Linked DNA regions of Lonchura striata. The main gene of each other region encodes a partner of the protein of the gene in region 4 in a complex. Links are inferred from orthologs where the notes say so. Each region holds a gene or a part of one and is shown on either strand. Other genes may lie near its edges. The genes, in order: MED19, MED18, MED31 and MED1.

Region 1 (7,284 bases), on a different chromosome or scaffold from region 4:
AGAGTCTCTGCAATCTCCTGGGAAAGACTGGGGTGAGCAGGAAGGGCTGCAGGGCAGTAACAGCCACTGTTTCTTTGCAGGCGAGGCAGTGGTGGCCCACTGCAGTGTTCTCTCCGTCTGCAGCCCCTTCTTCATGGAGCAGCTGGGCCGGGAGCTGCCCCCCCAGGGTTGCAGGGTGGCGCTGAAGCTGGCGGGGCTGAAGATTGGGGTGCTGCGCAAGCTGGTGCGCTTCTTCTACACTGCCGAGCTGGAGGTCACGCAGGAGGAGGTGCACGAGGTGCTGGCAGCTGCCCGCCGCCTCCGTGTCACCGAGCTCGAGTCACTGCAGCTCTGGGGAGGACGCCTGGTGAGACTGAGACCCCAGCGGCAGCTCGACCGCTCCTGCCTGCATTCCACTCAGGAAGTCTCCACCGTGGGGGCACCTGACTCAGCTGAGCCTGGCAGTGCCAGCTCTGCGGTGTCCCCCCAGAGGCAGCCACACTCTCTGGGGCACTCACACCCCAGCCCCATCGGGCGGATGAGGCTGCGGAAGGTGCAGCACTGGGGGCACTGGGAGGTGGTGCAGGAGGCCGTGCCTCCGGCAGTGATGGTGGGGGATGTGGGGGTGACAGAAGCACAGCCCCCCCAGAATGTGGATGCACGGGAGCAGGTGAGCAAGTGCTCCCCAACCCAGCAGTCCCCCAGTGAAAATGGGATGCAGCAGCATGGGGACTCCCCTGTGTCCTCGCAGGGCTGCCAGCAGGCAGTGCTCCCAGGAACTCCTGGAAGTGACACCAAGGAGGAAGAGGTGGATGTGGGAACAGGGGAACTATTCCTGCCCCCTGGCACAGTGTGCCTCTGGCCCAGTCCCTCATCTGAGTCAGAAGAGGAGGTGGATGTCCTCACCTAGAGGGGGCTGGCTCTGCCTCTCCCCCCACCAGTGCCTGTACCCCTTGGGCTGCATGTCCTTGGAATAAAGGGCTGAAGCTGTGCTGTGGAGTACTAAACTTTATTGGAGATTGGGGGGACAACGGGGTGTGGAGGGAGCCAGGGGTCTGGCAGTGGCAGAGCTGCAACATCAGGGACGGGACTGGGGCAGGTGGATGCCCCCACTTGGTCTCGCCTCTTCATGGACGCTCATGCCGTCTGTGCCGATCCTGGCTTGGCTGTGGAGAGAGGGAAGTCGGTCCCTGTTGGTCCCATCCCTGCCCTATCCCATCCCAGTCCCATCCCCGCTCACCTGGCCAACACCTCTATGCCAAGCTGCTCTTCAGGGCTTCCACTACTGTCTCCGGCTGGGGAAACTTCAGCTTGCGGGGGGGCCCCTTCCCGATACCGCTCCACAGCTCCACGGCTGCAGAGGTAAGGGAGATTATGGGATCAAGGGTGCCGGGGAGCCCCCCGCCCCCCTGCCCAGCACTTACTGCTGCCGTCCTCCTTCACCAGGGACACCTCGAAGCTGTTCCTGCGCGGCGGCCGGGGGTTGATGTCCACGGGGAGGTGCGCCATGGCCCCGCGCAGGGCCGCGCTCACCGCCGCCGCGTTCCGCCCGAACACGCGTCAGCTCTTGCTGCGGGGACACGGCGGTCAGCGACCCCGGGGCACCCAGGGGCCTCACACCGCCCTCGGCGCCTCGGCCGCTCACCAGTGCTCGATGACGACACGGGGGCCGATGTCCCCGGGGCTGCACTCGTCTTGGGCTTGGGCCTGGGCCCGCGCCCGCTTCTGCGGAGCTCCCGCTGTCTCCGGTGCCTCGGCCGCCGCCGGCTGCTGGGCTCCGCGCTTCCTCCCGCGGGGAGCCATCCTGGGACAGCCGAGGCGGTGGAGCCTACGCCGGCTGCAGGAATGCCACTCCGGGGTGAGAAGGGAGCTCAGGTACCACGCTGTCCGGGGAGTGAAAAGTGGGTCCCTGTGGGGACACTACTGTGGGAGAGGGCCCGGATGGGCCAGTCCCCGGCGATGCGCCACGGGGGAAATGAGGGCCCCCGCCGGGATCCCGCTGCGGAGGGCGGGAGGCGGCTCCGCAGGGATCCCGCCGCGGTGTGCGGCTGGGGGGAGCAGGGCGGCGGGGCCCGGGGCAGCAGCGGCGCTCCTACCGGCCGCTGGCCACGTGCGGGAGCGCGCGCCGCCGGGGCGGGGCCGGAACGGGCGGGGCCGAGGAGGGCACCGGAGCCTCCGGTGGGCTCCGGTTCCGCCCGCGCCGCGCCGGCCAATCAGAGCGCGCCGGCTCCGCACGGCCCCGCCCCCATGCGCGGGCCCGGGCCGGGGACACGGACACGGACACGGACACGGGTCACGGGACACGGCACGGACCGTTTATTGTCAGCGATGGATGATGAGCGAGCGTTAACCGAGGCGGGGCCCCTCCTACCGCCCTGCCCGCACGGGGCCGGGGGGCACCGCCGCTTTCCCGGGGCTCAGCCGGGACAAGTCCGCACGGAGAGCGGCTCCGGGCGGGGCTGGGCAGGCCCGCGGGGCCGCTGCCACCAGGCTGATGGTGACATAGTGATGGGCGACAGTACAGGGCAGCTTCTACTTGTCCTTCTTGGTCTCCTGAGCTGCAGCGGGCACGGCTGGGGGCTCCTCAGGTCCCTCCTCCCGCGGCTTCGACTGCTTCTTGGCCTTCTGGTAGAGCTCGTTGAGGTTGAACTCCCGGATCACATTCTCCTGTGGCCAGGAGGTAGCATCAGCACCACTGGGACCTCGTGCTCCCCCCTTCTTCCCAGGCACAGGCTGGACAGAACAGAGGGCTGCAGGGTCCCACCCACCTCAGAGAAGGTCCAGGACACAGCCCGGCCCTTCTTGTCGATCTGCGGTCGCCGCATGATCTCTGTCCCACCCTGGAAGAGGATGAGGGTGGGCAGCTGCTTGGTGAGAGGCGAGGTGCTGACCTTGTACCTGTGTCAGGACAAGCCCACAGTGACCCTCGGGCAGCTTGAGAGGGCAGGAGGGTCACAGGGACTACCCCAGAGCGAGCCTTGCTTGCCCAGGCTGCGTTCCCCACACCTGGTGCTGACGTCCGTGTACCGGCCAACATCCACCTTCCCAAACTGGAGTCCTGAGCAGTTGTACCTGGGCAGGATGGGGACACAGGGCAGTGAGGGACACAGGGGACCACAGGCCCCGTTACCCCCAAGATTCCAGTGGGTGCCACTCACTTGAGAGAGAGGTCGGCGAAGATGGGGGCAAAGGACTGGCACTCACTGGACCAGTTGGCAAAGAACTCAACAATCCACGTCACCCGCTTGTCCCTCTCCAACTCCTCCTGCCACAGGGGCATGGGCTTAGGGGGGCGAGGGCAGAGACCACCAAAAGCCCCAGGGCTGGGGAGATACTCACATCGATGGTCTTGTCACTGAAGTACTTGATGTATTCGGGGCCCATGTAAAGGGGTGGCTTGCAGGTCATCAGGAACACTGGAATGACAGCACCCTGAGCCCCCCAGTGCCAGGAGGGCCAGGCTGGGCCTGGGACAGAGCTCCTCCACCCCAGAGCAGTAAGGGGGAGCCAGGAGAAGGCGGATCTAGGGCAAGAAGACATGCAGGCTCACCTATGCAGAGAGTGAGGTAGAGCAGCCCCATGCGGATGTCAAGGCGGAAGAACAGGATGGCGTTGGCCACTTTGCTGAACATGAAAATATTCCCGATGTGCTGCTCCACGGTGACTGTGATGTGGAGACAGGAATAAGGCATGGGACCAGATGCCCCCAGAAGGCTGGGGGAAACTTCAGGGAGGGCTGGATCTGGTCCTCCAGACACCACCCCGTGCTCCTTGAAGGAGACCCCATAAGCAGCCCCAGCCCCCCAAGTCCCCCTGACTCACTGGAGCGCCGGTTCTTCATCATGACAATGGCGCTGAGGAACATGAGGATCTCCACCTCCCTCTGGCACAAAGAAGGGACAGCATGAGCTGGAAGTGCCCAGGACACCTTGAAGCCATGCCTGGCCTGGCACAGGGACCCGTGGCCGTGCCAGGCCCTACTGTTCCCAAGGCCCTGCCACAGCCCAGAGCCTTCATCCCCCCCGGGATGAGAACAGCGAGCAGAGGGGCTGCCCTGGGGCCACGAGCCGGACCAGAGCCTGGGGGTGCCTCTCGGCTGTAAGGGAACACCGCAGAGCATCGCCAGGGGCTACCGGGCAACTCCTCTCTCAGCCAGGCCGGGGTGCTGTGTGAGCAGGAGGGGAGCCAAGCCAGGGCCGGGGCTGTGGGGACAGGACCGGGGACAGCCCAGGGATGCGGGGACAGGCCCGGGGACAGGCCGCACCGCCTCACCCAGTCAAAGTCACAAGGGTTGCCATCCTCCCGCTGCGAGGGGAGCCCGCGGCAGAGCGGCGGGACCTTGCGCACAATCAGGAAAGCGGCGGCGAGCAGCGCGGAGAGCGGGTAGTAGGGCTGGGCGAGCCATCGGCAGAGCCCGGGCAGCCCCCAGAGCAGCGCCAGCAGCGGCGCCACCACCGCCATCTTCCCTCCGCCCCGCTCACTGCCGGGGGCGGGGCCTCCCGCGCCGGCCAATGGCGAGCGGCGAGGCGGGCGCTCCCGCGCGCGCGGACCAATGAGAGGAGAGAGGGGAGCGGCCAATCAGAAGGCTGGGATGGGTCTCCCTTAGCAACGGGGGGCAGGGGCGGTGTGGGGGCGGCGCTCGGCCAATGGCGGGGCGGGGCGGCCCGGCGCGGGGCACGCCGGGAACATGGAGAACTTCTCGGCGCTGTTCGGCGCGGCCGAGCCGCCGCCCGCCGCCGCCGCCGCGCTCGGATTCGGGCCCGCCAAGGCGCCGGGTGCCGGAACCGCGCCGCCGCCCGCTGCCTCGGCCGCCGCGCCGCCGCCGGGCGAAGACGCGGCCCGCAAGGCCGCCGGCGGCCCCTTCTACCTGCTGCGAGAGCTGCCAGGTGCGGGCGGGCCGCGGGGCGGGGCGGGTGCCGCGCTCGGCCAATCAGCGCGGCGAAACGCGGCCGCGGGGGAAACTGACGGCGCCAGGAGCCAATGAGGTTGCGGGGGCGGGGCCGCGCAACGCGCGGTCCGGTGGGGAAGTGGGCGGCGGGGGCGCCCCGGGGCCGGGGGTCCCGGTGCTCGGGGGCTGCAGGGGGTCCCGGAGCCTCGGCTCGGCTGGGGAGAGGGGCCTGGGCTGCCGTCGGGGCGTTTCCCCCGCGCCAAGTTTTCCTGCGGCCGCACAGGCACTACGGAGCTGACGGGCAGCACCAACTTGATCACACACTATAACCTGGAGCACGCCTACAACAAGTTCTGCGGCAAGAAGGTGAAGGAGAAGCTCAGTAACTTCCTCCCCGACCTGCCCGGCATGATCGACCTGCCCGGCTCCCACGACAGCAGCAGCCTGCGCTCGCTCATCGAGAAGCCGCCCATCTGCGGCAGCTCCTTCACGCCGCTCACGGGTGCCATGCTGACCGGTTTCCGCCTGCACGCCGGCCCGGTGAGCCCCGGGCTATGGAGCCGGAGGGGCGGGAGGGGCCCGGCGTGGTCTGACCAGTCCTTTTTCTCCACAGCTGCCCGAGCAGTGCCGGCTGATGCACATCCAGCCGCCTAAGAAGAAGAACAAGCACAAGCACAAACAGAGCCGCACGCAGGACCCCGTCCCCCCAGGTAAGGCTGCCACAGCCGCTCCCCTGCTCCCCTTCAGCACTGGCAGAGCATCGGCTCATCTGGCGCTTCTGCTTCTCCAGAAACCCCCTCAGACTCCGACCACAAGAAGAAAAAGAAGAAAAAAGAGGAGGATCCAGAGCGGAAGAGGAAGAAGAAAGAGAAGAAGAAAAAGAAGGTGAGTGGCAAGGCCGGGGTGCAGTGCCCAGCCCGTGGACCTCGGAGGGGCGCTGTGAGTTGCCATCCCCAAGGGGCTGCTGCCCAGCAGCTCTCACAGTTTCTGTCTGTCCTTCCTCTGCAGAACCGGCACAGCCCGGAGCACCCTGGGGTGGGCAGCTCCCAGGCCAGCAGCAGCTTACGGTGAAACCACGCCGGTGACGCCCTGGGGATCCCCTGGCCCATGGGAACAGCCCCGGCTGACCCCAGGGACACTGGGGCTGGCCTGTCCCCCCGGCTAAGAGGACACCCCTGCAGCCCCCCAGCACCAGGGGCACAGACTCTGTGGGTGCTGACCTTGAGCTTTTGTACCTGAAGAACCTGGAGCATCAAAGCCTCTTTTTTAGTCACCTTTTAAACTCTGCTGTGAGGAGGGGCTGGTGGCCATGGCTGCTGTGACCCTTAGCTGTCACAGTGGAGCCCCAAACAAAGGTGTCCCTGGAACGTGCAGGTGCCCTCCTTTGGATCCGAAACCTCACCAGCACCCACGATACTTTCCCTGGAGCCTCTTTTCCCATGCCTGGAAAATCCTTACCTTCTGTGGGAGCAGAGTTTGCCTCAAGTTGGAGCCCCCCCAGAACTGGGCCAGGCTCAGCTCTTACCAGACCCCCTTCTCTCTCTCCCTCGGGAGGGGGGGCAAGGCTGAAACCCTGAGGATCAGGAGCCTTGGAGGGGCTGCTCCATCCCTGGACACCAAACAAAGCACACGCACAGCCCCGGGGTGGCTCATTAAATATCCTTTTATTCCTTGTTTTTAAAATGGCTGATAATAATAAAAAACCCTGGCGTGGCTGTGTGGGGCCACGGGAGCTATTGCCGTAGAGAAAGAGTCCGGTAGTGCCGGCAGGGCTTTGGGGACAGGGAGCACAAGGCTCCTTGGCTGTGTTTTTTTGGCATGTGATGAGAAAATATTGCTTTCCGGGGATGCACCTGCCTCTTCCCCGAGCGAGCGGAAATAAAAACACCCCTGCGACAGCGAGAAACCTCCTCGGAATCATTAACAGAAACAAAAAAAGGCAACAAAACCAACAACCCCCCCGACCACAGCACCTGGGGAAAGAAAGAGCAAAAACTGCGGGTGGGGGACACTGGGGCTTCTGCACCAGCTTGGGATGGGGGTGTGGGGTGCTGTCCCCACCTTACCTCCACCCTGGGCCCCCCAGGGGGGCTGGAGGCTGTGGACACCATGGATCAGGGAGGGGAGTGTCCGAGGATGGGTATCTGGCACCCAATGGCCCCCTTCAGGGACGAACAGTGACACCCAGCACCTACCACAGCTCCTTCCATGGGTGCAGGAGGCAGCCCCACGTCCCTCCTTTGGGGACAGGGACAAGGTGGGGGGCCCAGGCCCTGAGCAGGGTAGTTTCTTCCTCTCTCTGGGTAAGATATATAATTTCTGCTTCTTTTTTTTTCTTTTAATATTTATATTTATATATATAGATATTTATATATACACACACCTGGTAACTCGGAAAGAGAAAAAAAATAGAATCC
Region 2 (5,289 bases), on a different chromosome or scaffold from region 4:
TTATATTGCAGGTTTATACCTGCTGAAAAAAGACGATGGTTTGGGATCCTGTCTTGCCTCAGGGCAAGTTCATGTTCTTGTCAGGTCCACCTTGCCCTGCAGAGTGGTGACACTGCATCCAGTGACCCCCCTAGCACTGACAGTTCCATACTTTGTCATCCTGCCTGGGGATGACTGCTGCCCCAGGCTCACCTTGCTTACACCCTGTGGAATGGGGGAGGCCTGCTTCCAAAGCTGACCTCACTTCAGTGCTCCAAGGCTTTTGTATTACATAACACAAAACTACTTAGCATCCTATCTTAACCACCAGCTTTACTTCAGTCTGCTCTTAAGCAAAGCTTTAGCCCCAGGTTGCTCCCATTCCATTCCCACTAGGATTCAGGCCTTCTAGACAAATATGGTAGGTAGGTAAACAACCTTATTGTTGTTTGCCCCCACTCACGTAGGACAGGAAAGAGTAAAGGCAAAAATGAGAAGACATAGATTCAGATGGAGACTGCTTAGGAGGTAAAGTGAAGCCACACCCAGAAAGCAAAATAAAGAATTTATTCACAATTCCCTATCAGCAAGAAGAGCTTTGGCACACTAATAGTTATTTGGGAAAACAAATGCCATAACCATGAATGTCCCCACTTTCTCATCTTCTTCCCAGAGCTTTTGGTGCTGGGCAGAATGCAGTCTGGTATGGAATATTGGTGTGGTCAGCTGGGATCAGATGTGACTCCCTTTGTTCCTTCAGAGCCTCTTACTTGCCTCTAGCCTACTCACTGGCAGTGAATGCAGGAGAAAAAGGACAAAAATAAAACCTTGATGCTGGCAACCCCTCCTCAGCAACAGCTAAAGTACTGCTGTGTAACCAATGTTCTTAGTCACAAATCCAGAACACAGCCTCATACAGGCTGCTATGGAGACAACTACTTTCATCCCAGCCACAGCCTGTATAAAAATAGAAAATCTGGATCTTGGCACCAATACCCACAAGAAGTGAGATCCACAACAGCCAAGTAAACATCAGCTCTTAGCATCAGAGAAGAATATGGGTTGGAAGGGACTTAAAAGAGCATTAATTTCCAACCCCCCTACTGCTGGCAGGCACACCTTCACTACACCAGAGAATTGCAGAATTGTTTAAGTTGGAAGAGAATTTTAGAATCATTGAGTCCAACTCTAAACCTAACATTACCAAGTCCACAGGCTAAAAAAGGCATCAGCCTGATGTACCTGACATGTTCCTTCCTGACACCCTTCCTGTTGTGTGGTCTGATGACACTCAGTGAAACAGACCTGATGCAGTTTTCTTCCTCTCCTGGAGGCCTCTCCCATGGACACAGTGCACCAGACAGAACCTGAGTGTCAACAGAAGCCAGTCATGTTTCCTTTCTCCTCCTTGCAGCTTTCCTTTCCTTTGTCCTCCAGCTCATACCAGGCAGCAGTTGCAGAATGGAAAAAAATCACCTCTTTCTTTATCCTTCACCAGAAACATAAGGTCAGGTTGCTCAAAGCCCCATCTAACCTGACCTTGAACACTTCCAGTCATGGTCCAGCCATAACTTCCAAGTTCCAGCATCTCAGCACCCTCACAAGAAATAATTTCTTCCTTACTCAGTTTATCCTCCTGGAGGAGAATTCTACAAGGTCAGTCCACACTTTCACAAGCTGGAACGTCAGGATAAAATTAACCATGACTGCACTGGGAGGGCATGACTATGCCATTTCTCATTTGCAGGTCTTTGGCTTGTACCAGTATTTATATAATTTTTATGGGGGGTGTCAGGGGATACCACCACTGTGTAGATACTGATACATGAAAAATGGACATACTGTTCACATTCTGTGTGGCACAAAGGTTTGTTACACAAAAGACTGCTAAGGGAAATGTCACATTTATAACTCTGTTTTGGGTATTGACAGGAGTAATTTCAGCTGGTACATACTGGGCATTTCCATCACTTTCTGAAAACGGGCTTTTCTGCATAGAAATGGTGTACATCCTACCAGGCCCAGATGAGATTTCTGCCTTCTGCTGCAGGAGCTGAAGCCTGGCCCACAACACCCCAGAGCATCAGACACTTTGCTGTCGCTGTGAGACAGATTGGATCATTTTTGGTGGATATTTTCCACAGAATTAATTGCATGTGCCACCCTGGGGAGTGATGTGGGTGCAGCCACAATGACCCCTGATGGCTGGTCCTGCCTGCTGGCCTCCCAACCCTCCTGCTGTGCCACCGGCGCCGAGGTCAGGCTGGCAGCAAGCCCTTTGAGATTTGGGGCCCTCAAGATTTGAGGTCTCAAGATTTGAACCAAACTTTGCAATTTTTTTTTTTCCAGTTGTTAATCAGAAGCTGTAGCTGAACAGTTATGATTAAGCAATCGCACTGTGAATGTTGCATACTTGGCTCGTCTTTTGCTTTGAGGAAAAGAGAAGAGAATCCCAAGATGCAGGGACTCTCTGGATGAGATCTGCCAGGAGTGAAGTCAGGATGCCAGGAGCTGACTGAGGGAAGGCAATTCCACCACACCCTGACCCAAGGGAGGCAAAACCACGCCTGCAGACCAAAAGGGCTCTTCTCATGGAGAAGCAAGACACACAACTAGAAAATAGGGTTTGAGTGCTAATTAGGAGAAAAGTGGTATAACTTACAGCTAACAAATGCTGACACCTTGGTTTGTTAAAAGGTATAAATAGTGTAGAGGTTTGATGATCACAGAGCCAGCCTTTCGTGGGTTACCTCCTGATTCCCGGCTTTGGGCAAACTAGAATAAAAGAAAAAACACGGCATCACAGAATCGTTAAGGCTGGACGGGACTTTTGCAGATCATCCAGTCCAGCCCCCTTGCTGAGGCAGGGTCACGCAGAGCAGCTGACACAGGAACACATCCAGGTAGGTGTTGAATGGCTCCAGAGAGGGACACTCCACAACCTCCCTGGCAGCCTGCTCCAGCGCTCGGCCCCCGGGCGGTGTGAGGAGAGCGGGGCGGTGTGAGCGGAGCGGGGCGGGGCGGTGTGAGCGGAGCGGGGCGGTGTGAGCGGAGCGGGGCGGGGCGGGGCGGTGTGAGCGGAGCGGGGCGGTGTGAGGGGAGCGGGGCGGTGTGAGGGGAGCGGGGCGGTGTGAGCGGAGCGGGGCGGTGTGAGCGGAGCGGGGCGGTGTGAGCGGAGCGGGGCGGGGCGGGGCGGTGTGAGCGGAGCGGGGCGGTGTGAGCGGAGCGGGGCGGGGCGGGGCGGTGTGAGCGGAGCGGGGCGGTGTGAGGGGAGCGGGGCGGTGTGAGGGGAGCGGGGCGGTGTGAGCGGAGCGGGGCGGTGTGAGCGGAGCGGGGCGGTGTGAGGGGAGCGGGGCGGTGTGAGGGGAGCGGGGCGGTGTGAGCGGAGCCGGGCGGTGTGAGGGGAGCGGGGCGGTGTGAGCGGAGCGGGGCGGTGTGAGCGGAGCGGGGCGGTGTGAGGGGAGCGGGGCGGGGCGGTGTGAGCGGAGCGGGGCGGTGTGAGCGGAGCGGGGCGGTGTGAGCGGAGCGGGGCGGTGTGAGGGGAGCGGGGCGGTGTGAGGGGAGCGGGGCGGGGCGGGGCGGTGTGAGCGGGGCGGGGCGGTGTGAGGGGAGCGGGGCGGTGTGAGCGGAGCGGAGCGGGGCGGTGTGAGCGGAGCGGGGCGGGCGGTGTGAGGGGAGCGGAGCGGGGCGGTGTGAGCGGGGCGGGGCGGTGTGAGCGGAGCGGGGCCGGGCGGTGTGAGGGGAGCGGAGCGGGGCGGTGTGAGCGGAGCGGGGCGGTGTGAGGGGAGCGGGGCGGGGCGGTGTGAGCGGAGCGGGGCGGGCCGGCGCCGCCCCCGCCCGCCGGGCCGTTAGGGGGCGCTGCCGCCGCTCTGCGCGGCGCTGCCGGCGGGGCCGCGGGGCCGGAGCGCAGCGCGATGGAGGCGCCGCCGGTGACCATGATGCCCGTCACGGGCGGCACCATCAACATGATGGAGTACCTGCTCCAAGGTAGGCGCGGCGGGACCAAGCAGCGGGTGGGGGGCTGGCGCCGCGCACGGGCGGGCCGGAAGGCGCTGGGGCGGGCGCGCCGCGTGCGGAGCCCAGCTCGGCCCGTGCGAGGCGACGGTCGCGGCGCTGTCTCCGCAGGGAGCGTGCTGGACCAGAGCCTGGAGAGCCTCCTGCACCGGCTGCGCGGGCTGTGCGACAACATGGAGCCCGAGACCTTCCTGGACCACGAGATGGTGTTCCTGCTGAAGGGGCAGCAGGCCAGCCCCTTCGTGCTGCGCGCCCGGCGCTCCATGGACAAGAGCGGGATGCCCTGGCACCTGCGCTACCTGGGACAGCCCGAAATAGGCGACAAGAACCGCCACGCGCTGGTGCGAAACTGCGTGGACATCGCCACCTCCGACAACCTGACGGACTTCCTGGTGGAGATGGGCTTCCGCATGGACCACGAGTTCGTGGCCAAAGGGCACGTATTCCGCAAGGGCATCATGAAGATCATGGTGTACAAGATCTTCCGTATACTGATGCCAGGAAACACAGAGAGCATCGAGCCGCTCTCCCTCTCCTACTTGGTGGAGCTCAATGTCGTTGCGCCAGCAGGGCAGGACATTGTTTCTGATGACATGAGGAACTTTGCTGAGCAGCTGAAGCCTCTAGTACACCTGGAGAAAATTGACCCCAAAAGACTAATGTGATTGACAGTCTGGGGCATTAAGGCACTGGTTTTGTGTTTCAGAAAATGATGTTTTTCTAAAAAGCGTTTTGTGGGCAAATCAAAACAGGGAGAAGGGAATAAAGTACTATGTATCAGTTTTGGCAGCTGCAATTCCTGAGTGTTTTTTTCTTTCACTTGTGAATATGAGCAGAAGTGGACACTTCAAATTAGCACTGTTAAAAAAATCAGTAAATGTTAATACCCATAGTGTTCTTTCTTTTGCATGGGAGATAACTTTAAAAGCCTATTGCCTAACAGTCTAAAAATGTCAGACTTACTGGAATTCATCCCTCCGTGTACTCAGATCCCACTGCTGTCTTAAGATTTTTAAAGCACAATTTGTGTATCCTACTTAGTCATCCAAAACTTTTCAGTAATAGAGGAAGTTAATACTGTTTAATGCAGGAGATGCTGTTTCACACAAGCATAAACACAGAAACTGCTGCATAAAAGGGCAGCTAACTGTACACCTCTTCACCAAAGCTTATGTGACAGGAACAGGTACTTGTTAGGGAAACTGTTTCTTATGATGTAACCGAAGTTAGAAGTAGAAGAAAATCTAGTAATATTAACATTTGCAAGTGGTTTTTCCCATCTTTTAATGGTCTTCC
Region 3 (7,669 bases), on a different chromosome or scaffold from region 4:
GGTAGTGGCATAAAATAATCTGTTTGCCCCTCACTTTAAAGCACGCACCCCCAGCACCCACAGAAAACATGGGAGTATCCTCAGTGTGGGCTTTGTCAGGGCAGGTTATTCAGCCACCCTGAGTGAGCAAACTATTCCCATTTTACCATATGAGGGCAGAGTGTGATTCCTTGTGGTCAGTGAGTCTGTCAGCTGGCCAGCTGGCAGCACAGCTAGCAGTGCCACCTCTAAGGCCTCTAAGGAGCTAAATTAATGCTTTCTTATTTTCTGCCCTCTTTCTATGGAACCTTGGCTTTTCCTTTCTTCTCTCAAAATACCAATTTACCAAAATATCAAGTTGCTAATGCTGTTTCTGCAAATACTGAGTGTCCCAAACCTGCAGCATTGTGATCTGGGCTGCACAGGGTTGCACAGGGTTCCTGACTGATCATGTACTAGTGTGCAAACTTGTTCCCACAGTGTACTAGTGCTTGGGAATGGTCTCACAACTGTGAATGAGTTAATGAATTACCAAACTACAAGAAAACATACAAAGAGATAACAAAGGTATTTCCTGCCCACACGTTGAACATCTAGATCTGTGAAATAGAGAAGAAAAACCTTTCAGCATTCTCTACATGATTAGAACTTGTCCCCAAGATGAAGAGTGGTCAGATTTGTTGGTGTCATCCACTGAGTTCAGAGCAGCAAGTAGTGCATTCCAGTTGAGTTCTGATCTCATTTGAACTCAGTGTTTGGCTTATTCAGCCTCTGTTTTCCAGCTCAGGTGTGTTGCCACTTGAAATAGCAATAACCTGGTTGTAGCCAAACCCAACATTTGCTGACAAAGTTGGAATTGGACAGTTGGTGAAAATCAGCCCAGAAAAAGAATTAGATCACTGCATCAATCCTAGCCAAAATGCAGGAGTGGTTCCTCTTCCTTTCTACTAGTGACATATTGTATACATTTTTACATACTTCACATCTTTTTTTTTTTTCCCCTGTCTGTGCTAAATATGTGAAGAAGTGGGTGGTAATGAATCCTGAGCCCTTGGATCAAGTGACAGAGTTTTCACAATGTTTTCCAGTGTGGGTGAATAAAAGTGTGATTTTAGACAAGTCTGATCAATCTCTTTGTGCTATTGAGAGGTTTTCAACACTTCTTGCACCACAAGGCCACCAGTCTCCTGCCAGACAGGCTCAGCATTTGCCTGCATGGTTTAGTGGCAGGGTGCTGATTCTCCTGTGCCCAGAAGAACCGTATCAGTGGCAGCTCCTCAGTGGCAGATCAGACCTTCCCCTTTGTGTATCTGTACCTGTCCCTGAGTGAAGGGTCTGTGACACAGAGAGGGCTTGCCATGCACTGCAGACTGCCTCTGCTTGGCACAGAAATTCTGAGGGAAGTACAGCCCTTACCACTGGGAGCACAGAGTAAAGGTAGGCATACCATGGTGCCCTGAGGTGATTTGGGACTGCTAAATACAATGTTTGGTAGTTATTTAAAAATAGAGATGACTATACTGAAGCTATTTTCCCCCCATTTTTTCTAGAGCATTTAGTCAATAGCTGCCCATTATGGTGTAAATGTAGATTTACATTTACTGTGGATGCTGGCCATAAGAAAGAGGCTGTTTCTTCTGTCAGAGAAAAGATGTTATCCTTTCCCAGTTTACTTCAGTGCTTTATTTACCCACACAAAATTATTTCCCAGACTTATTTGGCACATGGCACTTCAATGAGTTTTCATAAGCTGTTTCAGTGAGTGTGAGCCTCATTACAGTGTTCATAAAACTTTTTTTACAGACAAACCATTTTCCTGAAAAAACTTAATGTTCCATATACTAAATCTAATTTATTGTTGTTTCCTTTGTGAGCTTTTCTTTGAGAACAATAACTTGGGTTGGGTCTTAGCAAATATTTTAGAAAGCCAGCTGAAGATCAAATTTCCACCAGAAACAAAGTTAACACAACCTTTCAACTAAGAAATTATTATTCTGGAGGAAATTTCTATTTTACTTCAATATTTTGCCTTGGCTATATGGTCAGAAATCAGAAACATAGGAATGTATATTACTCCCGGCAAATGGCTGATTTCAAATTCTCCTGCTGTCCAGGTGTCTTAATAGAAGCCCTCACATATTTTTAACCAACTCATTATGGAAAAACATAAAATGCTTTCTGACACATGACATTTAATCTTTAATTTATCTTTAAATTCTAGTGTTTGTCTGAAGCTGGAGGAGTACCACAGTCACAGAAGTATATGTGCCAGTGCCTTCAATACACCAGTCTTTTTACACTATTTCATCCAGTTTGCAGCTTGCCTGAACGGTATTTAGCATCTGTGGATGAAGTGGTTGCACACGACTGTTATTGGCCTTCTGAAATGCACATTACCTGCCAGTTTCTTGACCTCAAAAAAGTGAACTTAGTGAAGAGTTAAGCCTTTAATTAAATATGTTCTGACAATTGTTTTAGTCACTGAAAACTATGATTTTCTTTCTATTGAATTACAATTATAGCATTGGAGTAAAAAAATTGCAGACTTTGTGCTGGCTTGTTATATATATAACATAATGCATACTCTGCTCTCTGTTATTTAACCATATTTGAAGCAGGATGCTCTCCATCTACAGAAGCTGTCTTGCATTCTGTGGGTAAAATCCTGTCAGATGTCCATGTTAGTATCAGTTTGCATTCTATTCCAAAGCAATGGGTAAATGGGAGTGAACAAGAGGGGATGTCTTGGGTTTCATGCACCGGTGTAAAACATTTCCCTATTTCATCTCACTTGATCAGTTCTCAGTGATGAAATTGATGGAGCTTTTTTCTCTCTGGTGCAGATGCACTGCACAGTGGTGTCACAGAGGAATCTTTTGCAGCATTTCTCTTCCTCAGCGTTTACCTTCAAGATTCAACAGCATGCCAAATGAGACTTTATTTTCTCTTGTGTCTCATAAAACCGTGGTGGCTTCAGGTCCCAGAAGTGGCTCAATTTAAGAGCTGTGTCTCTATGCCAGCTCTAATGAGTTAAGATAAACTTACTGTCCTAAACCATCACATTTCTGGGCAGGCAACAGCAGTGACAGCAGTCTAGTCTATGAAAGGAGAAACTGAGGCAGCAATGTCATCCTTGTTCTATGACAATAAGACAAATTTCTGGCTCACAGTTATATTGACACATGTCCTGCAAGTTTGGCTCACCTGACATTTAAAAACAAAACAAAACTAAACAAACAAAAAAAACCCCAAACTTTTCTTCAAGAATGTTCTCCTATATAAAATATTTAAACTATAAAATCTCCTATACTAAAATCCTGATTTTCAATTTTATTCCTAATTTTGATGGACAAGAATTGAGATGTTTAACTTAACTTGGGCAAACCTACATTGTAATTTATTTTTGTGACCAATCCTTTTTTAGGATTCTCTCCTCTGAAGTCACTCTTGGGAAAGAAATCCTGTTCTAGAATAGCAATGCAGACACGTGGGATCTCTTTGATCTCTTCTTTTAGATCAAAGTCTGTGTTTACTGGGGAGTGACTTGTTATGTTTTAATATAGTAATAGTAGTATTCCACAACCACTAAAATGTTGCCTAAGAAAGCAACTCTTTTTTATTAAGAAAAAAACTATGCATGAATCCTTTTTATATGGTTTTTGTAATGCAATTCCCAGGGGAAAATTCATACTGCATAGGAAAATATAGTATTATAGAAAATTGCTATGTTGGATGCCAAAAATACTTCAACAAATTAAAATTGAAAATAATTAAAACAACAAAAAAAGGAAAAATTAGAAGGATTTCAGGTAAGCCTGTAGAGATTGCTTCCACTGCTGCTGCTCACTCAAGGAGCATTTGCTTGTTAATGGTTTTATTCTGAGACAACTGTGTTTTAATTAATGAAGAATTAAGCGTAGAGGTTGACAGAAATCTCTTTGGCTGACTGTAAAGTCACTACGAAAAACAAACAAACAAAAAAGCCCTGCAAAGTTCCCAACTTTGTCCAATATCCAGTATTTACCATTAAACTTTAAATACAGTTTAGTGTTTTAGTTGATTCTAAAAGTTGATTCTCTCCACTTCCTTTTGCTCTGGAAGGGATGAACAGTGGCTTTGTGTAGTACAAAGCTAAAATGAATGTTCTGCAAATACAAACAAAACTTCATCCTCTTTTTATCCTTCGCAGCTCAAGGGGTATCTGGGGAAAGAACATGCCTGGAACAGTGACCGCAAAGCCACACTCGCTGGCTCTGGGACTGACTGGGCCCTGCGGCACACGGACGAAACTCTGCCCGCGTTCATGTTCGGGAAGAGCCGTGGAGCTGGAGTCCCAGGAATGGCACTCTGGACTCGCACTGGGTCCCCTGGCACAAGCAGCGCGGGTGGCACTGGGCCTTTTCCCTCAGGCGGGGAAATTCCGCAGGACCGGTGGCTGCGGCACACAGCGGCGCCGCCGCGCCCCGTCATGGCCCCGCCCCGCCCGCCATGGCCCCGCCCCTCCCGGTCATAGCCCCGCCCCTCCCGCCATTGCCCCGCCCCTCCGGTCATAGCCCCGCCCCTCCCGCCATTGCCCCGCCCCTCCGGTCATAGCCCAGCCCCTCCCGCCATTGCCCCGCCCCCGACGCGCCCCGCCCCCGCCATGGCCCCGCCCCCACCGTTGCTAGGCAACGGCCGCTGCGTTCCCAGCGTGCCTAGCGTTGCATTTCGCCGGGCCGTAGGTAGGGGGCGCGCTCGCCGCTGTCGGGTGTGTGCGCCCGGACATGGACGCAGGTGCGGGAGCGGGCAGAGCCGGAGCGGGGCCGGGAGCGGGGCCGGGAGCGGGGCCGGGAGCGGGGCCGGGAGCGGGGCCGGGAGCGTGCGGGGCCGGGAGCGTGCGGGGCCGGGAGCGTGCGGGGCCGGGAGCGGAGCCGGGAGCGTGCGGAGCCGGGAGCGGGGCCGGGAGCGGGGCCGGGAGCGGGGCCGGGAGCGGAGCCGGGGAGGAGCCCGGGAGGAGCCCCGTGGGGCCGCTGTCGCCGCCGCTCGGAGCCGGCAGGCCCCCGGAGCGCCGGGCGTGCCGGGCCGGCGCAGGTCGAGCGGGGCGCCGCACGGCTCCCCTCGGAGCCCGCAGCCCAGGGCCTGTCCCGGGTGCGCCCTGGCCGCGCCGGGCCCGCGCACCGCGCCGTTCGCTGCCGCCGGCCGTGGCCCTCACCCGCCCCAGCCCGCTTTGGTCCCGGTACAGACTGCGAATGCTTTCAGTCTGTGTGGGTCCAATTCTTACTGGTTTTGTCTTGAATCAGATGATACAGGAAATCGACTTCGATTCCAGTTGGAGCTGGAGTTTGTTCAATGTCTGGCAAATCCAAATTACCTCAACTGTGAGTACTTAAAGTAAATACCACAACCTGGAAGAGTTAATATAGTGCAATGCTGTTTATTGTTACCGGTAATGTTGAATATGGAGAGAGGGCTAAACAAAGAAAAGGGTTTTCACAGCATGAAACTAACCTGTAAATTATTTGTTTAACAGGTGGATTTTTTTTTAAAATGCAAAGTCTTTTGTTAGTTGGAATGCAAGAAAAAAAAAAAAAGGCATTTATTTGATGGAGGAAGAAAATAACAAGTTCCAGTCTGTTATTAAAAAGTAATGTCAAGTTAACAGCATTCCTTTATCTGAAAACAGAATTTTACTAATGTGAATAGTTTTAGGTACTGTGCATAACTCTGTTAATTTTGATGCTACTGTCAAAGTTTTCTTGTTTCAAAAAGCTGTTCCATTCAATGAAAGATACAAACTATAAGGGAGATGAGGCCAATCTATTATTTTCTTGACATAAAAATCTTATTTTGCCCTGTGGTTTTTTAATTTGCCAAATATAAATTATTGAAATTTGATTGTAATGAGAAAGCTTTGACTTTGTGATTTTTTTTCAAGTAGGCTGATATTTTGCACCCATCTGTAACTGTCAATTCCTTGTCATTTCAGTTCTTGCACAAAGAGGCTACTTCAAAGATAAAGCGTTTGTAAATTATCTTAAATATTTACTTTATTGGAAAGAACCTGAATATGCAAAATACCTGAAGTAAGTACTAAATTCCCTTAAGTTTCTGCATTTTAATGGTTTGCCATTGACCTCATTTTGAACACTGTACAGCAGCATGATAGGATTTCATTTCTGCCTGTAGCATTACTTTTGTCCTTCCTGCAACATAGATTATGCATATGGTTATATGCAATGTAGATTCCCCTGTTTCCAATAGTCCACATGTAGCAGCAATAGGCAAAATTATAAAAATTTCATGAGTTTTGCATAGAATCTTCCTTTAAAGCCTTAATCTGCACTTTCGATTGGTTTAAAATCAAACTATTGAACATTAGGGCAAAAAAGCAGTAAGTGCATTTTAAGATCAATTGTGCATTATTGATGCTTGCATGAGACAAAAGATGATTTTTGTGTTTTTGCAAGTGTGCTAATGCCTTCTGTTTTTGGGAAAATGGTTTTGGTCATCTTTAATTGGGCTCTGGAAAGAGGCCTTGTAAAGCCTGTTGGATGGATGGATAGATTTGGTCTATCAAACCAAGCCATTGGGGAAGCTACTGTAAGTAAGCAGGAATGTGCATTTATTACTGGAATTGGTTGTCTTGTTTCCTGGCCTGATGCTGCAGTTACCAAGTCACAGTGTTCATGCTGAAGTCGTTTCACACTTGGGTAAAGCACATATGAGTCAAAACTAACGACCCACAGAAGTACTGGAGACTCTAGATTTAGTGTCCCTTGTAAAAACCTGTATTAAAGTGTGGTTATTTTTAACCCAGGTATCCTCAATGTCTGCATATGCTAGAGCTGCTTCAGTATGAACATTTCCGCAAAGAGCTGGTCAATGCTCAGTGTGCCAAATTTATTGATGAGCAACAGATCCTCCACTGGCAGCACTATTCCCGGAAAAGGATGCGCCTCCAGCAGGCACTGGCTGAGCAGCAGCAACAAAACAACACCTCTGTAAAATGAAAAGCACACAGAGTAGTGATGATAAGGTGTACTTTGTGTTAGTGAAGTATTTACAGGAGGTGAATGAACCCTTGTGCAAGTTTGGCTCTGGCTCTGTGCCTTTTATTTGAATTTATCAAATGACTAGGGTTGTTTTTGTTTCATCAACTCCTTTAAAAACTAATAAACACCTGCAATTTATTTTACAGCATGGACAATTTTGTAAGAGCTTTACTACAATAGTTATTGATTCCTCTTGATTTTGAAAACAAAATCTAGATTTGTCACTTACCAACTCTCTACAAAGAAGTGTAGCTCTAAAGGCTGTTCCTAGGAAACCTTTTCCCTGGAGAATAATGATGTATCTTAAGAGAACTCCCTGCTACTTACAGCTCTGGGACAAGCAAAGGTGAAGTGATGATAGACAAAGTCAAAACTGTGCAGTTTTTCCTTGAAACCAAGCTGAGCTATTACATGTCACTTCTGTTACCCTGGCAGTCATTGTTGATGGAAGTTTGTTTTCCTTACAGCACATTGTACGGATAGAAATCAGGAGTGTACAGGGTGAGGTCTGGGGAGTGGAGCAGAGATAAATGCTGATAAATTCTGCAGGATAGAGAAGGAAACAAGCTGTAGCTGTCTCTGTTCTATTAAACTCAGCTTCCTTGCATCTTGGCCTCTGCCTGTAAAGCAGTGGCTGCTCTGAAGTCTCTTTACACTCC
Region 4 (6,908 bases):
TCTTTCCCTGGCACTGAACACTAATTAGGGAACGGAAAGGCACATCAGGCTGGGCAGGTTTGGACATCCCTCCCTCCCCTGCACCACTCAGGAGAGAGTGAAGCCACAGTGCTGTGGTTTGACATGAGAAAAAGAATCTTTTCAGCAGGAAGAAGTTGATGTAGTCAGGGGTCAGGTGTAAATATTGACACTTAGAATAACCAACTGAAAGTAGACATGCTCTTAATATAGAGGGGTTAAAGGCTCTAGAGGAAAATGGGGGGGACTGTAGCCCCAAAATTAAACACTAGACTGTTGTTCCTCTTGGTCCTTGGCAAAGCATCCTCAAAGGAGCCCAATGAGCAGTCTCTGTCCATGCACGGTGGTGAGAGCACAGTGACAAAAAGAGGAGTGTCACACTGGCAGATTCTCTCCAGGCAGTGCCACGTGTGACACAGAAACACAAGAGGTGGCAGCTGTGTTTCCTGGGGGTCTGTAGTGCAAGGGAGACTCCTCTGTCCCCTCTTAGACTCAGTATTGATTATATATTAAAAGGTAAATACTTCATTAAGAGTCCAAATGTGTGTCACTGTAGTTTATTAAAGTTAGATAGTAAGAAGAGGAATGTTTTGAAAGGTTTTAATTTCAAATTTTATGTGTGCTTTTCTTTTTTTTCTTTTATACTAATATAGCAGTAGTAGCTTAATAAAGCTTTTTTTTCCTTTTTGTTATTAAGCTTCGCCTGCTTTATTCTCAATCACATTTCACAGCATCCAATTAAGAAGCTGCATTTTCACGGGGATACCAGCATCAAACCATGACACATGGACACAACAAAAAACACCTGGAAAAGGTCTAAAAACCCAAGAGAAATCCTTCAGCAGAGGAGCTGCAGCTCAGAGCCCAGCAATGCTCACCATGACCTGTCTGACCAACTTGATGGTTTCTGTCCAGGGCCGGTTCTGGCTGTACTTGGCGTGGAGCCTCTCCAGGAGGGAGCTCATCTTGTTCAGCTTCTCTGCCTCTGTCACACAGGAACACAGTGAGCCAACTTTGGTAAGTTCTGCAAACCACTTAAACAACACAAAACTTTCCACCTTTAAGCTGAAAATGACTTCAAAGAATTTGCTAACTGCTGGTTTAACCCCAGAGCTTGAGGTGAGGTTAAGTGTTACGGAATCTCCCAGGCTGTTAAAACTAAAGGACTGTGAAAATCTTATGGATTTTCCTGGAAAATGCTCAGCTCCTGTTCTGCACCATCCCTGAGTGATGTGGCCTCAGCAGGTTCAGTTCTGTCAGGAGAGGATCCCCAGAAACTGAGGCTGTGGGAAACACGGGGTTAAAGCAGTGAGGTGGGTTTTGTGTCCTGGATCCCCTCTCTGGTCTCTCTCCCCCAACTTCTTGAAAGGTCCTCAACACCTTCCACCATCAAAAACCTCAGCCAAGTCATTCCAGCTGCCAGTTCTGCCAAATTCTGTGCTCAGACACGTTCCTGCCCCACAGCAGGACATGGGGAAGCGGCTGGAGCTGTGCCAGGGGGGTTCAGGTTGGATTTTGGGAAGTTTTTTCCCCCCCTCAGAGGGTGCTCAGGCAGTGGAACAGTTCCCCTGGGAATGGGCACAGCCCCAAGAGCTCCAGGAGGGTTTGGACAACGCTCTCAGGGATTTTTGGGGTGCCTGTGCAGGGCCAGGAGTTGGACTGATGATTCCTGGATTTTGGGAATTTTTATCCCCTCCCAGAGGGTGCTCAGGCACTGGAACAGCTCCCCAGGGAATGGGCACAGCCCCGAGGCTGCCAGAGCTCCAGGAATGTTTGGATATCACTCTCAGAGACAGGGTGGGATTTTTGGGGTGCCTGTGCAGGGCCAGGAATTGGGTTGATGATTCCTGTAGAGCCCAGAGCCCCAGGAATGTTTGGACATTGCTCTCAGAGACAGGGTGGGATTTTTGGGGTGCCTGTGCAGGGATGGGAGCTGGGCTTTGATGGTCCTGGGGGTCCCTTCCAGCTCAGGACATCCCATGGCTCCACAATCAGCTCCAAGCTGAGGGCTGCTGTCCCCTTGTGCTGCTCCATGTGCTGGGGGGGATGAAGCAGTGGATGAGTGATAAAGAGAACATGGTTCTCATGAACACTGAAATCCAGTGTTTTATTGCCAAGAGACAGAGCTTTTCATACTTTCACGTCAAAAAAACCATCCCAGTGGACGTCATTCCAGAATAAACCCTGTCCCCAGCCCCAGAGGGTCCAGTGCAGACATGACATTTTAGTGTCACCTCACAGGAGCCTGTGACTTCCACCTGCCAAAATTCCACAGTTTGGGCTCCTGATTGATGCTCTGCTAGCCCACAGACCTCACATTGAGCCCTCCAAACCCAAGTGTAAGGAAGGAATGAATGAATGCTGGGTGTTCTGGAGCCTCCTGCTCTGCACACATTGCAAACCCACCTGTGTCCCCTGCTCCAGCTGACCCTGCCTTGGCAGAGGGGTTGAACTGGATCATCTCCAGGGGTCCCTTCCAACCCCAGCTACTCCGGGATTTGTTTTCAGGCACTTTACACCTCTCAGCTGCATCAACACAGGATGCTGCAGGTGGGAAGGGACCCCTGCAGCTCACCTGGTCCAAGCCCCTCCTCAACCAACACTGAGTTGTCCAGAATCCCATGAGAGAGCTGGAAGGGATCTCTGCAGATCACCCAGCCAGGCAGGGTCACCTGGAATGTGCCCAGAGACCACTCACCCTCCCTGGACACCCTCCTGGAAAGAAGCTCTTCGTCATGCCGAGGTGGAACTTGCTGTGTTTTATTTTCCGGCCGTTTCTCCTCGTCCTGCCGCTGAGCAGAGTCTGAACAGGGCTCTGACAGCCCCTAGCGATATCTGCCCGGACTGATAGCATCCTCATCCTCCTCTCCTCCACAGCAACCAGGCCCAGCTCCCTCCACCTCCGCACAGAGACTCCCCACACCTCAAACCACCTTTGTGACCCTCGCCCGTTTCACTTTCCGGGCCGCCACCTCAACCTCAACCCGAATGCGGAGCCTCGGATCCGCCGGGCCGCCCTCCTTCCCTCACGGAGAACCGGGAACCCCCGCGCCCCTCGCGCCGCACTCACCCTCGGCGCTGCCGGGCGCGGCCTTCATATTGCAAACGCGGGGCTGGTCTGGACTGGAGAGAGGGAGCGGAGAGGGAGCGGGAGCGGCGGCGGCGGCCGGGCCGCCCTCGCCCTCACACGGCGGCGGCCGCCGCCATCGCTGCGCCCGCGGCCGCGCTCCCGCGCTCTCGCGAGACTCCGCGGGAGCGGGGCGGGGCTCGGCGGCCAGCGCGCCCCGCCCCCTCAGCGCCCTGGAAGCGCGGCGGCCGCTCCGCAGCCCCTAACGGAGCATTAACCGCTCGTTAGCCGGCGGTGCGCCGGGGAGGGCTCGGCAGCCACCCGCCGGCGGCTTTAGGGCGCGGCGCGGCGGAGCGGGAGAGCGGCGGGAAAGGGCGGGGCGGAAGCGGCGGCGCCGCCGCCATGGGAGCTTTGTTGCGGGCCGGGCGCTAGGGGGCGCTGTCCCCGCCCCGCGCCCCGATTAAAGTTCGCTGGGAAGGAGCCGCCGCGCGATTTGGCGGCTCTCGCGAGAGGACGAGCGCGCGGGCCCCGCCCATCCCCCGAGAGGACTCGCGGACGAGGAGGACTCGCCGGGGAGGGAAGGAGGGAGGGGTGGCGGCGGCGGAGTTGTCGCGAGAGTTGCGGGCGGGTCTCGCGAGAGTTGGCGGCGCCCCCCGGACGGCGCCGCTCCGGTTCGGGCAGAGCGCGGGGGCCGCGCCGGGGGCGGCGGCGGCTCCGGGGCCCCTTCGGCCGGGGATCCGCGCCCAGGCCCCGCCACCGCCGCTGAGGCCGCGGGCAGCGCTCCGGGCCCCGCCTTCCCGGGGCGGCCGCGCTGCCCGCCGGGCCTGGGCCCCCCTCGGATGAGGCGGTGAGGCCGCGGCGCTTCCCCCTCCCCTCCCGGCTCCTTCCCCCCCCCCCGCCCCGGCCCGTCCCTCCCGCCGCCTCCGGGGCTCGGGCCCCGCTCCCCGTGTGAGGAGGGAGCAGCGAGGCCGGCGTGGATGGTGCGAGGGGCGGGCGCGGAGGGAGTTTGAAGTTGGGGGTTTCCGCCGAGTCCGCCCCTCGCCGTTCCCGAGCGCAGCGGGGGAGGAATGCCAAACCCGGAGAGGCATGGGGGCAAGAAGGACGGCGGCGGGGCGTGCTCGCAGCCGGGCGGCGGCGGCTCCAACAGCAAGGAGAGGCACCGGGCGGGCTCCAGGCACAAGAGGCACAAGTCCAGGCACTCCAAGGAGTCCCCGCTGGCGGCCCAGGAAGCGGCGGCGCCCCTGGGAGCGGTGATCAAGCCGCTGGTGGAGTACGATGACATCAGCTCGGACTCGGACACCTTCTCGGACGATGTGGGCCTCAAGCTGGACAGGAGGGACAACGACGAGAGGAGGGCGGAGAGGAGCGAGAGGGCCCAGAAGCACCGGCACCACCAGCACAAGCGGCTCCGGGAGCTGATGAAGAGCAAACAGGCGGAGAAGGACAGGAAGTTGGAAAAGAGCCTGGATGCTTCCAGCAGGTCCGCCAAGGAGAGGATCTCGGGATCCTCCAAGAGGCTCCTGGAGAGCGAGGAGCACCCCAAGGCGCTCTCCTCCTCCAAGAGCAGCAACAAGGAATCGCGCTCGGCCAAGGCGCACAAGGAGAAATCCAGGAAGGAGCGGGAGCTCAAGTCCAGCCACAAAGAGCGCAGCAAAAGCCATCGCAAAAGGGATGCTCCCAAAAGTTACAAAACCATCGACAGCCCCAAGAGGAAATCCAGGAGCCCTCACAGGAAATGGTCGGACAGCCCAAAACTGGACGACAGCCCTTCGGGAGCTTCCTACGTGCAGGAATACGACCTCAGCCCGCCCCGCTCGCACACCTCCAGCACCTACGATCCCTACAGGAAAAGCCCCGGCGGATCCTCACGCCGCCAATCCCTCAGCCCGCCCTACAAGGAGCCCGTGGGTTACCAGTCCAACGCCCGCTCGCCCAGCCCTTACAGCCGGCGGCAGCGATCCGTGAGCCCCTACGGCCGGAGGCGCTCGTCCAGCTACGAGCGGGGCAGCGGCTCCTACAGCGGGAGGTCCCCGAGCCCCTACGGGCGCCGCCGCTCCAGCAGCCCCTTCGCCTCCAAGCGCTCCGTCAGCCGCAGCCCCATCGCCAGGTGCGTGTGCCCCGCCTCGCCCCGGGAGCTGGGAGGGAGTTCGGGAGAGTTTGGAGTGATGGGATACAGGGGGGGATGGGTTCAGGTTGATGGAGGGTGGGTTTAAGGTGGGATATTGGGGAAAAAATTGTTCCCTGCTGCGCTTGCCTGAGGAAGTTGTGGATGCTCCATCCATGGTGTTGTCCAAGGTTGGATAGGGCTTGGAGCAAGCTGGGCTAGAGGAAGGTGTTCCTACCCATGGGATGCTCTTCAGGGCGTTTTCCAACCCAAACCACTCCGTGATTCCGTGATTCCTCCCCATTGCTGCCCAGTGCCGTGTGTGGAGTTGGCTTTGGCTGGGAGCTTTGACCGTTCCCTTTGGAAATGGGGCTGACACTTTGGGAACCGCCTCTGTGCCTGGCGGGAGGCAGCGTCCATGTTGGCTGCGGGCAGGGAGGGAGGCTGGAGGAGCTGCTGGGATTAAGTTACACCCACCTCTGGAGTGGCCCCTTCGTGGGGAGGCTCCCGGAGCAGGATCTAAGGCGCTTACCTGCTGGGAACTTCAGCCACGGGGAATGTTTTCACCTATTTCTGGAAGCCTTTATCTGTTTACTGCGTGTGGGAGCGTGATCCTGCTTTTCAGGAGGGCTCGTTTGGGGTGGATTTTGCTCTTCCTGAACTGGTTTGTCTTTTCTTTCCCCTTGGATTAGAGGCAGCCACGTGCAAACTCCATCTCTCAGCCTAAACTTTCTTTTCTCAGCACTAGAGTTTCTTCCCTTCTGAAATGTGGGCAGGCTGGAAGGGCGAGGAGCAACCAGCTGGATTTTGGCTTATCTCTAATTTTCTCTCCCCTTTTACTCAGTAACTTTGCTCCAGAAGGAAACAATTATTTCAAGGTAGCTCTGTGCGTTTTATTTCAGGTGTTCATTAATCATCCTGTGACATAGTCTAATGTTGATCTTTTCTTTCTCTAGCCCTGGCTTAACGTTCAGTGAGTTTCCAGTTGTCTCCATGGATGCTGTGGAGCTTTGCTTGGAGCTCCATGGCAATTCAGATGTGACCTGGAATGCAATGGCCATAGGAATGCTCTGCTCCCTGGTTGCTGTGCTGCATCCTGCAGCTCAGCAGTTCCCAAAGCACACGGGGCTTTTGGAATTTGGTCTTTGTTACTGCAGCTCTGAACTTCAGGAGTGCTGTCTTCCATGGAGAGCTCGCCTTTGTCCTTGCTGGCAGTTCTGTCTTGGTTTCAACCCCCCTGGAAGCTCTGACGTAAAATCTCTGTATTCCACTGTGATTTTTACAGTGAAAATTTCCTCCAGGCTGCTCCTCCTCTGGCCTGTTTTCTCTGTGTACACCTGGGAGGTTCTCAGGGATAGGCCTGGGTAGTTTTCTGCTCCTTCCCTTCAGTCCTTTTTGCCTGGTGGTGCTACTCTGACACGTTATTTGCTCACCCTTTGGAAGGGTGAGGAAGGTGCAAGGTGTCAGTTCACTGATACAACTCGGAGTTGTGGCGCTGAGGAAATGTCCAGCCCTGAGCAGGGAGAAGCCACTGGGAGCTGCAGAGCAATCCTAAGAGTTTTCTCCCCAGGAGAACCTCTCTGTGTAAGTGGCTGAGTAGAGAATTCAGAGTAGAGAATTCCAGCAGTTCCATTTCCCTGATTTATGGGAGCAACTTCAGAGCACTTTGTGCTGCTTCCCTAAACTTTCAGAGCAACTTTCTAAGGACATCTCCGACTT

The links.
Region 1: MED1 (region 4) and MED19 share a complex: the UniProt entries of both Homo sapiens proteins name them as parts of the mediator complex. The link is inferred for Lonchura striata from reciprocal best matches to the Homo sapiens genes MED1 and MED19.
Region 2: MED1 (region 4) and MED18 share a complex: the UniProt entries of both Homo sapiens proteins name them as parts of the mediator complex. The link is inferred for Lonchura striata from reciprocal best matches to the Homo sapiens genes MED1 and MED18.
Region 3: MED1 (region 4) and MED31 share a complex: the UniProt entries of both Homo sapiens proteins name them as parts of the mediator complex. The link is inferred for Lonchura striata from reciprocal best matches to the Homo sapiens genes MED1 and MED31.

Annotation. Positions count from the first base shown.
Region 1 is NC_134608.1:53,110,875-53,118,158, forward strand, and holds MED19 (mediator of RNA polymerase II transcription subunit 19), read left to right. Parts: upstream 1-4,666; coding exon 4,667-4,865; intron 4,866-5,150; coding exon 5,151-5,407; intron 5,408-5,480; coding exon 5,481-5,577; intron 5,578-5,657; coding exon 5,658-5,752; intron 5,753-5,875; coding exon 5,876-5,938; 3' UTR 5,939-6,773; downstream 6,774-7,284. Other genes in the region: TMX2 (thioredoxin-related transmembrane protein 2), read right to left, coding at 2,512-2,646, 2,748-2,877, 2,986-3,051, 3,138-3,244, 3,319-3,395, 3,530-3,643, 3,802-3,862, 4,252-4,440. UniProt on the Homo sapiens protein: Component of the Mediator complex, a coactivator involved in the regulated transcription of nearly all RNA polymerase II-dependent genes.
Region 2 is NC_134642.1:13,964,595-13,969,883, reverse strand, and holds MED18 (mediator of RNA polymerase II transcription subunit 18), read left to right. Parts: upstream 1-3,852; 5' UTR 3,853-3,893; coding exon 3,894-3,966; intron 3,967-4,104; coding exon 4,105-4,658; 3' UTR 4,659-4,782; downstream 4,783-5,289. UniProt on the Homo sapiens protein: Component of the Mediator complex, a coactivator involved in the regulated transcription of nearly all RNA polymerase II-dependent genes.
Region 3 is NC_134622.1:11,673,532-11,681,200, forward strand, and holds MED31 (mediator of RNA polymerase II transcription subunit 31), read left to right. Parts: upstream 1-4,652; 5' UTR 4,653-4,742; coding exon 4,743-4,752; intron 4,753-5,258; coding exon 5,259-5,336; intron 5,337-5,944; coding exon 5,945-6,041; intron 6,042-6,775; coding exon 6,776-6,968; 3' UTR 6,969-7,158; downstream 7,159-7,669. UniProt on the Homo sapiens protein: Component of the Mediator complex, a coactivator involved in the regulated transcription of nearly all RNA polymerase II-dependent genes.
Region 4 is NC_134627.1:7,131,733-7,138,640, forward strand, and holds the start of MED1 (mediator of RNA polymerase II transcription subunit 1), read right to left. Parts: upstream 3,010-6,908; 5' UTR 2,642-3,009; coding exon 2,425-2,641; intron 1,004-2,424; coding exon 897-1,003; intron 1-896. Other genes in the region: CDK12 (cyclin-dependent kinase 12), read left to right, coding at 4,153-5,192. UniProt on the Homo sapiens protein: Component of the Mediator complex, a coactivator involved in the regulated transcription of nearly all RNA polymerase II-dependent genes.